Linked DNA regions of Bombyx mori. Each later gene encodes a partner of the first gene's protein in a complex. Links are inferred from orthologs where the notes say so. Each region holds a gene or a part of one and is shown on either strand. Other genes may lie near its edges.

The links. The genes of interacting proteins can lie anywhere in the genome.
Region 2: thioredoxin-like protein 4A (region 1) and U6 snRNA-associated Sm-like protein LSm6 share a complex: the UniProt entries of both Homo sapiens proteins name them as parts of the precatalytic spliceosome. The link is inferred for Bombyx mori from reciprocal best matches to the Homo sapiens genes TXNL4A and LSM6.

Annotation. Positions count from the first base shown.
Region 1 is NC_085120.1:13,294,244-13,298,185, forward strand, and holds thioredoxin-like protein 4A, read right to left. Parts: upstream 2,813-3,942; 5' UTR 2,003-2,812; coding exon 1,925-2,002; intron 1,634-1,924; coding exon 1,497-1,633; intron 838-1,496; coding exon 624-837; 3' UTR 414-623; downstream 1-413. UniProt on the Homo sapiens protein: Plays a role in pre-mRNA splicing as component of the U5 snRNP and U4/U6-U5 tri-snRNP complexes that are involved in spliceosome assembly, and as component of the precatalytic spliceosome (spliceosome B complex).
Region 2 is NC_085134.1:2,613,339-2,617,613, reverse strand, and holds the start of U6 snRNA-associated Sm-like protein LSm6, read right to left. Parts: upstream 2,809-4,275; 5' UTR 171-2,808; coding exon 80-170; intron 1-79. Other genes in the region: GATA zinc finger domain-containing protein 1, read right to left, coding at 2,955-3,121, 3,619-3,805, 4,044-4,275. UniProt on the Homo sapiens protein: Plays a role in pre-mRNA splicing as component of the U4/U6-U5 tri-snRNP complex that is involved in spliceosome assembly, and as component of the precatalytic spliceosome (spliceosome B complex).

The sequences.
Region 1 (3,942 bases):
ATAGTGAATTGGGAGGATCCGAAATGACGTGTTTAGGGCTTCTCGTCCCTCTTGGCCTTGGCACGACCGTTTATCGGTCTTTTACTGGTATTTTACTGGTGGTAGGACCTCTTGTGAGTCCGCACGGGTAGGTACTACCGCCCCGCCTATTTCTGCCGTGAAGCAGTAATGCGTTTCGGTTTGAAGGGTGGGGCAGGCGTTGTGACTATACTGAGACCTTAGAACTATATCTCAAGGTGTGTGGCGCATTTACGTCGTAGATGTCTATGACCTCCAGTAACCACTTAACACCAGGTGGGCTGTGAGCTCGTCCACACATCTAAGCAATAAAAAATAAAAATAAAGTATTTTTGATAATGGTTTTTTTTTTTTTCAATGATGAAGATATTGCAACACAAAAAAAAGGATCTACATCAGCATAAAACTTGTCATTTATTCTACTTTTACTTTGTTTAATATCAGGAAGAACAGCATAATTCCAAAAACACATGAGTTATAATGTAATATGTATAGTTCTTATTTTTATATAAAAAAAGTTACATTACTAAATTTATGATGACTATGATGTCAGATATGATTACAAATTACTAGACCATTCAGGTGGAACATTATTTTAAATTAAACTAATATCTGTATTTGGTAGAGTAATCTTTCGGTGAGACAACAAGACCTCGTCCTTTTCTTGCCCCTCTGTACACAGTTTCAATAATATCAATCATCTCCTGCTTGTCTTCGAGAGGCCAGTTGATTTTATTGTTGTTGCCAGTCCCCAAGTCAATCATTATGTGTTTGTTGCGGAAGAAGAACATCACTGTGCATGGATCGTATAATTCATACCTAGAAATAAGTTTAAATAATATTATTATAGGCCTTGCTTAGTCATTTTATATACTAGACCCTTTCTACTAGACTAGAACTTTCAACCTTTTTTACTTAATGATGTATTAACATACTCTATATATACATGACACCCTTAAATGCAAAGATTTATAGTTGGGAGTGATGGTTGTTGGTATTTACATCACTCATATGTAATACTGTTGTATGGTTAATATTTAATAAACAATTGTATATTTAACCAACATGTATCCCTGAGATGCAATTTCCCAGATCACCTTAAATAAAAATTGAAATATCGTATTTCTAATTTTCACAACACACTTGACTTGCAACATTCCAGTGATCAAGAACTGCTGTTCTACTCTAGTCTTAAAATCAACAATTTGAAAAAAATTATTAACAATGTAGATAATGAAATTCATTTACTGTATGAACCAGACTTATTAAGAATTCCTAGAAAACTCATAGTTCTTTGCTTCTTCACTTATGATACTTTTTTAATAATTAATAAAACAACAAATTTAATAATACAACATAATTTCCTTAAAACACTGGAGGTAGGAGGACTTGTGTATTCCACAAAGGTTTTAAGAAAACCTATCAAAATCTTAATTTCAGAAATAAATTTAGAACAAGTAGTTTTACGGTATACTTACATTTTATTAAAATCTGGAACTTCTGTAATGTCAACTAAATATATGACAGCAAAATTTTTTACTTTTTCCGCAATGCTGTATAATACTTCATCCATTTTCATACATGTTGGGTCCCAGTCGTGTCCAAACCTTATAACCTAGATATGTAAATTAGAATTAATTACATTTAATATAGTTGAATCATAGGGCAAGACAATTAGGCCACTAATTAAATAACTATTAACTGTTTTGGCTCAAAGCATTTTGTTAGTTCCTTTAATTCAAAATCTATTGTTTTTTATACTAGAAGGTTGAAGGTCTTGGTTTCTACTGCATTTATATACTTTAACAAATACCTATTGATGTAAGGTTAGAATATAATTATTATTTTTAGTCTTCAGATACTAAATCTCAGATTTCTACATTCTATGAATCTAGTTAAAACTCACCACTACACGGTCTTCTTCTGATAGAATGGCCTGATCTACTTGCCAACCATTGTGTAGATGTCCTAGCATATAACTCATTTTGCAAATAAACTACTTTACGTATTATTTCAAACAAACGATTATTCCTGTATTCTTTTTTCTGGAAATTGCTATTGCTATGAGCAAAATATAATCGTGTTGTAGGACCACTGAACAAATATTGATATTATTTTGCTCACTGAAATTTGCCTTTCACATCTAAGACATTCCAAAGTTATTTTATTCTCACATTTTGTTTCTCGTCACTGTTCACGTTTTCTATAGAAGTGTGTTCAAAAAGTTTAGAGCAGGCGTTGTCTTTTTTGTTACTTCATAACAAAAAGAATGTTCTGTGAAATAGAGAACTTTAAATTTATAATTATTTAATAATATGTAGGTATTAAGATATGACTATTCTATGAGTAAATTTACAAACACTGACTTTTACCAGGTCATAAAATACCTTAAAAAAAATCACAGACCACAGTATGACGTATGACAGTAGCAGTTCCATTTTCCAACAAGAAAGGCGGAGGTATCAGTCCATACAGCGTAATCTTTCATGGAATTATTCTGTTATTTATATCAATTTAATATGAAGTTAATAATGATATGGATGAAATGAGGTGAAGTTTATTTATTTGAGGCTTTAATGTTAATCATATATTTTATCGTTACAACTCTTATAGGTACAACAAGGTATTTAAATTAAATTATATAGGTATAGGATATAGGTTATAGGATTTAAATTAAATAAAATTAATAATTTTGTGCAGCGACCGGCGCGGCGCGTGCGCGTTATTCAATTTTTCTTTATCGACCCTCCGTATTTTTACGAATCCTGCGAGGCGTCGCGGCGTCGGTCGCACGGCGTTGTTCGACACTTTAGGGTTCCGCTTAGCGTGCGGGTGTTGTAACGTAATGTTACAACTGAAATCGTCTGCAAAATAAAAAAAGAAAATAAAAAAAACCTTAAAACAAAAGTATTTATGTTCAAAGCAGTTATTTTATCGATTGTACCGCTGAGGTGACAACAATAGTTCCCACCTCCCCCCGAGACGTAGGTTCGGCTGGCGCAGACACTGCGCAGCCGCTGCGCCGGCAGTCGTCACTAGAATCGACATCAACCCCACGAAAAGCACAGCGGTGCTCTTCAAAAGGGGTCGCCCTCCGAACACCACGCTGAGCATCCCCCTCCCGACTAGGCGCGTCAACACCTCCGCCCCCGCCATTCGCCCAATCACGATGTTCGACCAGCCCATACCGTGGGCCCCGAAGGTCAAATATTTAGGCGTCACCCTCGACAGTAGGATGACATTCCGCCCTCACATCAAGACGGTACGCGACCGTGCCGCCTTCATTCTAGGACGTCTCTACCCGATGATATGTAGGCGAAGTAAAATGTCCCTTAGAAATAAGGTGACACTCTACAAAATTTGCATACGCCCCGTCATGACCTATGCAAGTGTAGTGTTCGCTCACGCGGCCCGCACTCACTTAAAATCGTTCCACATTATTCAATCCCGTTTTTGCAGGATAGCCGTCGGAGCCCCGTGGTTCGTCAGGAACGTCGACCTCCATGACGACCTGGACTTAGAGTCCATCAGTAAGTATCTACAGTCGGCGTCGATGCGCCACTTCGATAAAGCGGCACGACACGAGAACCCTCTCATCGTGGCCGCCGGTAACTACATTCCCGATCCTGCGGACAGAATGGAAAGCAGTCGACGTCGCCCAAAACACGTCATCTCGGATCCTCCCGATCCACTAACGGTGCTTCTAGGTACTTCAAGTACCGGTCACCGTTCTCGTCGAACCCGTCGCTTGCGACGAAGGGCTCGACGAGTAAATTAACTCTCAGACACAGCCCACTGAGTTTCTCGCCGGATCTTCTCAGTGGGTCGCGTTTCCGATCCGGTGGTAGATTCTGCGAAGCACGGGTCTTGCTAGGGTTCGTGTTAGCAACGTCATCAGGTTTGAGCCCCGCGAGCTCAACTACA
Region 2 (4,275 bases), on another chromosome or scaffold:
TTTAGAGCTATGTGGTTCTTAAAAGACGAAGTGATTGTTATTACTAACTTAATAAATAAAATTTGAAAGGAAAACAAACCTCTATAGTCAACGCCGCTGTTTAATTTAACGACAACTGGGCGACCGTGAATCTGCTGTATAAACGAGGACAAAGCTTCCTTACGACTCATTTTTTGTGTTTATTTATTATTCTGATGAAATTGAAGACACGAAATACATTAAATGAAACTTAAAAATTTTCAAATTGGTCAAAGCGGGTGTTTTGATTACTTTTGATCTTTTTTTAAAGGTTTTTATGACTTGGTATCTAATACCTTTAGGTCGTCTTATTTTAATTTTAATGAATTTTTTAAAATGAAAAATTGTATTAATATTATGAAATGAAATGAAGTTGATTACTATGAAACATGGCATGAAATGAAATGTAATGAATTGAAATGAGATGTTATGAGATGAAAAATAATCTCAGTAAAATGGTGGTCATTTACTGAGACTTTTTCAGTGGACTTTTTGGAGGATGCCGAGAAGTTTGACATTCTATTTTCAAATCCAGTTATTTGTTTGTTGATTAGTGTTTTGTTTTCACTACATTTGTAATATAATGTATCTTACATCAATATGTACACGATAGAAAAGAGTGAATATGGAGAGTTCCGTCGCCGTGGCAATGCCGCAAAACGGCTCATATTATGTTTGGTATTTAAGAAATAATGTGTATGTACGGAAAGAACACTACAAAAGAACGCACGATTGGCCTGTACGGTTCAGCACAGAAGTTTTGATTTAAAACATTTTGCAGCTTTCAACGTTAGGATCAGAAGAATATTAGTTCATTTGGGTCAAGTTGGTGGGCAAAACTTGATATGTGGCACCCCCACACGAACTGAACGATCGTCACCCCATTAGGGTATCTTGAAGCATATTGTCATCTACGATGAATTATGTTGTTTATAATCATAAGCGGTCACATCAAGCTGGTCATTTGCGATGAAAAATGGATTATTGTTTATAATCATAAGCGGTCATCAAGCGGGTTGCAAACACACCCTGATTCAGAACTAGAGGCGACTTTACCTATGGTGCGAGGTGTGTGTGAGTTGCAGATGCGCGCTGCGGTTTTAGGGTGCACCGGCCTCTGCATTCTTAATGAATCAGTTAGATTTGTTCCTTTTTTTTTTTTTTTTTTTCGGGCCGGGGGCCGAACCTCCTACGAGGTCCCCGCGCCTAGGGGGCGCGCGGGGTATGTGAGACTCAGCGATCTGCAGGTGTTGAGAGCAGATCGCGGGCCCAAGGATTTTAGGGCCCACCCACCAAACGACTCCCCTGCACTCTTACACCCGACGTCCGATCTCCGTCCGGGGTCAGAACCCGTTCAGTGTAGGGGGGTTCCCGCGGTCAACACTACAACCAGACACGCGGCGCCACCCCGAGGACGCCCGACCGACGGGTCGTCGAGGCGATAGTCGACGACCAACGACGTCGGTCTCCGCGGTACGGCGGCCCTACCAGGCCGCCCGGGTGGTGCCGCTGGTGTTCCGGGATACCCCGCTGGGCCAGAACCAGCCTGCCGGGTCGGAACGCGATACACCGCCGACCGGGTTGCTCTTCAACAGTATGTTCGGCGACGACAGCGACGACGAAAATGCGGACCGCATCGCAGTCCGCAGCCGCCGACGCGCCGTCCCGTCCTCCTGGTGCAGTTAGATTTGTTCCTAGTCCAACTTGATTGCACGCTTACTAGAGGGCGCTAGAATAATTATTGCACTCGGACATTACATGGACTAGAGGTTCAGTACAAAGGCAATGCCTCAAATGAAAATCTATCTCTAAATATGTCATGTTCACTGTTTAGTGGCTTTGTTCTGGTATAATTCATCACAGCTTCCTACCAAATAGCATCATTACTACAGATGTGTATGGTGAGGAACAGGATACAATGATGAAGAAGCTTTTGTATCTCCAGCCTGCCCTTCTTAATCGCTTGTCCACACTTCTCCTATATGACAACGCTCAACCTCATATGGTACAATCGACCGTCTTTAAGCTACAAGAGGTATGGATGGAAGTTTTTGCATCCACCATACACACAAGTTGTTGCGCCAACAGACTTACTATTATCCTTTTTCCAAAGTTTGAACAACTTCTTGGTAGGGTAAAAATGCAATACCCAAGAGGTTAACTGAAAATAATTGGGCTTCCATACGCTCCACTTCTTCAAGGGCATTGAAAGATAGGCAAAAAAATATCAGTGATCTAGGGAAACAGCATAGTTACTACTTACTACTATGAATACTTATACCAAATTTTCTGGAGGAAAAAAAATGTTGGTTGGTTTGAATGATTAAAGTGAATGATGTGTGTTATTGAATGATTGATAACTGTCCACTTCGATAAAGCGGCACGACACGAGAACCCTCTCATCGTGGCCGCTGGTAACTACATTCCCGATCCTGCGGACAGAATGGAAAGCAGTCGACGTCGCCCAAAACACGTCATCTCGGATCCTCCTGATCCACTAACGGTGCTTTTAGGTACTTAAAGCACCGGTCACCGTTCTCGTCGAACCCGTCGCTTGCGACGAAGGGCTCGACGAGTAAATTAACTCTCAGACACAGCCCACTGAGTTTCTCGCCGGATCTTCTCAGTGGGTCGCGTTTCCGATCCGGTGGTAGATTCTGCGAAGCACGGCTCTTGCTAGGGTTCGTGTTAGCAACATCGTCAGGTTTGAGCCCCGTGAGCTCACCTACTAAAGTTAGGGTTACGCTGACAGCCGCTAGGGCTATCAGCTTAGGTAGGGAAAAAAAAAAAAAAAATTATAACTGTGAATGATATCGAAATTCAAATTGTGCTCTAAATTTAAATAAATGTTAACTACGGGGTATATGGGGTAATAAAACTAAACATAAACAGTATTTTTTTGTAACAAAATGTTCACTTTGCTTAAATATAAAAGTCTACGTTCTCTCTTTAGCTTCCATCGAAGTCCATACAAAACCAGTATAATTATTCAGTTCATTATCAGTCAGTGGGTATGGACTGTTGCTCGCTTTGTAGTAATCAGATGGAGCATGCATCACAAATTCCATGTATTCCAGTTTCCGAGGCAGCTCTTCTTCAGGGCCTGAAAATTTACAGCAATATTAACCTTAACTGTCACATTTTTTATATACACTATTCTTTTTTTTGCTATATGGCAGTTGAGTTTTCGTGATGCTATTGTTGCCAGTATTGAGTTAGTAAAAATCATATTTACAAAATAAAAATAAAAAATTAAGCTGAATTTAATTAAGTTGGTTTATTTCATTATATTCATTATATTGGGATGAAATTACATGATATAGATTGAAACAAGACGAGAGGAAGTGAAATCAAACAATGCAGGCTTTTTAGAAATGCCGTGTCAAGCGACTTATTTCGTTTTCTGCTATTCACGAGCTTTGATCGAATACACATTTAATGAGTCACTATTATTACAAGTGGAAAATCTAAAGCACTAAATTTACAAAATGAAAAAAATCACCCAAAATGCCTTAGATATTGAATAAATACTTTAATCACCTACTTCTGCCTGTTGCAAATATCTGTATTTCTAATTAAAATATTATTAAAAGCTCATACCAATGATATATGTAGCAGGATCAAAACATTTCTCTGGAGGTGGGCTCGCTTTTGTAGGTAATAACCAAGTAACAGCTGCACTCTTCTCACAGTACTCATCAGTTAGGAAGCCTCTAATTTGGGCATAGTATGTGCCACCATCAATGTCAGTCATCGAAACAATATCACCAACTTGCATGTACATACCCTGAAAAAATTACCACAGACTATTCAAAGCAGAACCGAGGTAATTTTTCAAGTTTTCATGTTTACTGTGAATAATAAGTTAGGGTTTTTTAAATTAAATTAATCTCTAATCAGTTTTTAAACTATAATTAGTATGCGATATAGCCTCAAGATTATTGAAAAATAAAAAAAAAGGTATATTTCTACAGCTGTTGTATATCTAACTACAGATTTTAATTGGATTAAATAATTGAACAGACCTGATAAAATACTGAATCACTTGTAACAACAGTCGCTGTAGCTGTTGGTGCTTTCAATGGCTGCCTTTTGAATAGACTCCTGCGTCCTCTGCCCCGCGGCGCCGGCTGCTTCAATGGCGGTGGAGCAGGTGTTTTAGGTTTGTATCTCGTTGATCTAGTGCTTTTCCTAGTGCCCTTGCCGGTAGCTTTAGCCGGCGTAGACTCCTCATTTTTACCATTATCTTTGTCTTCC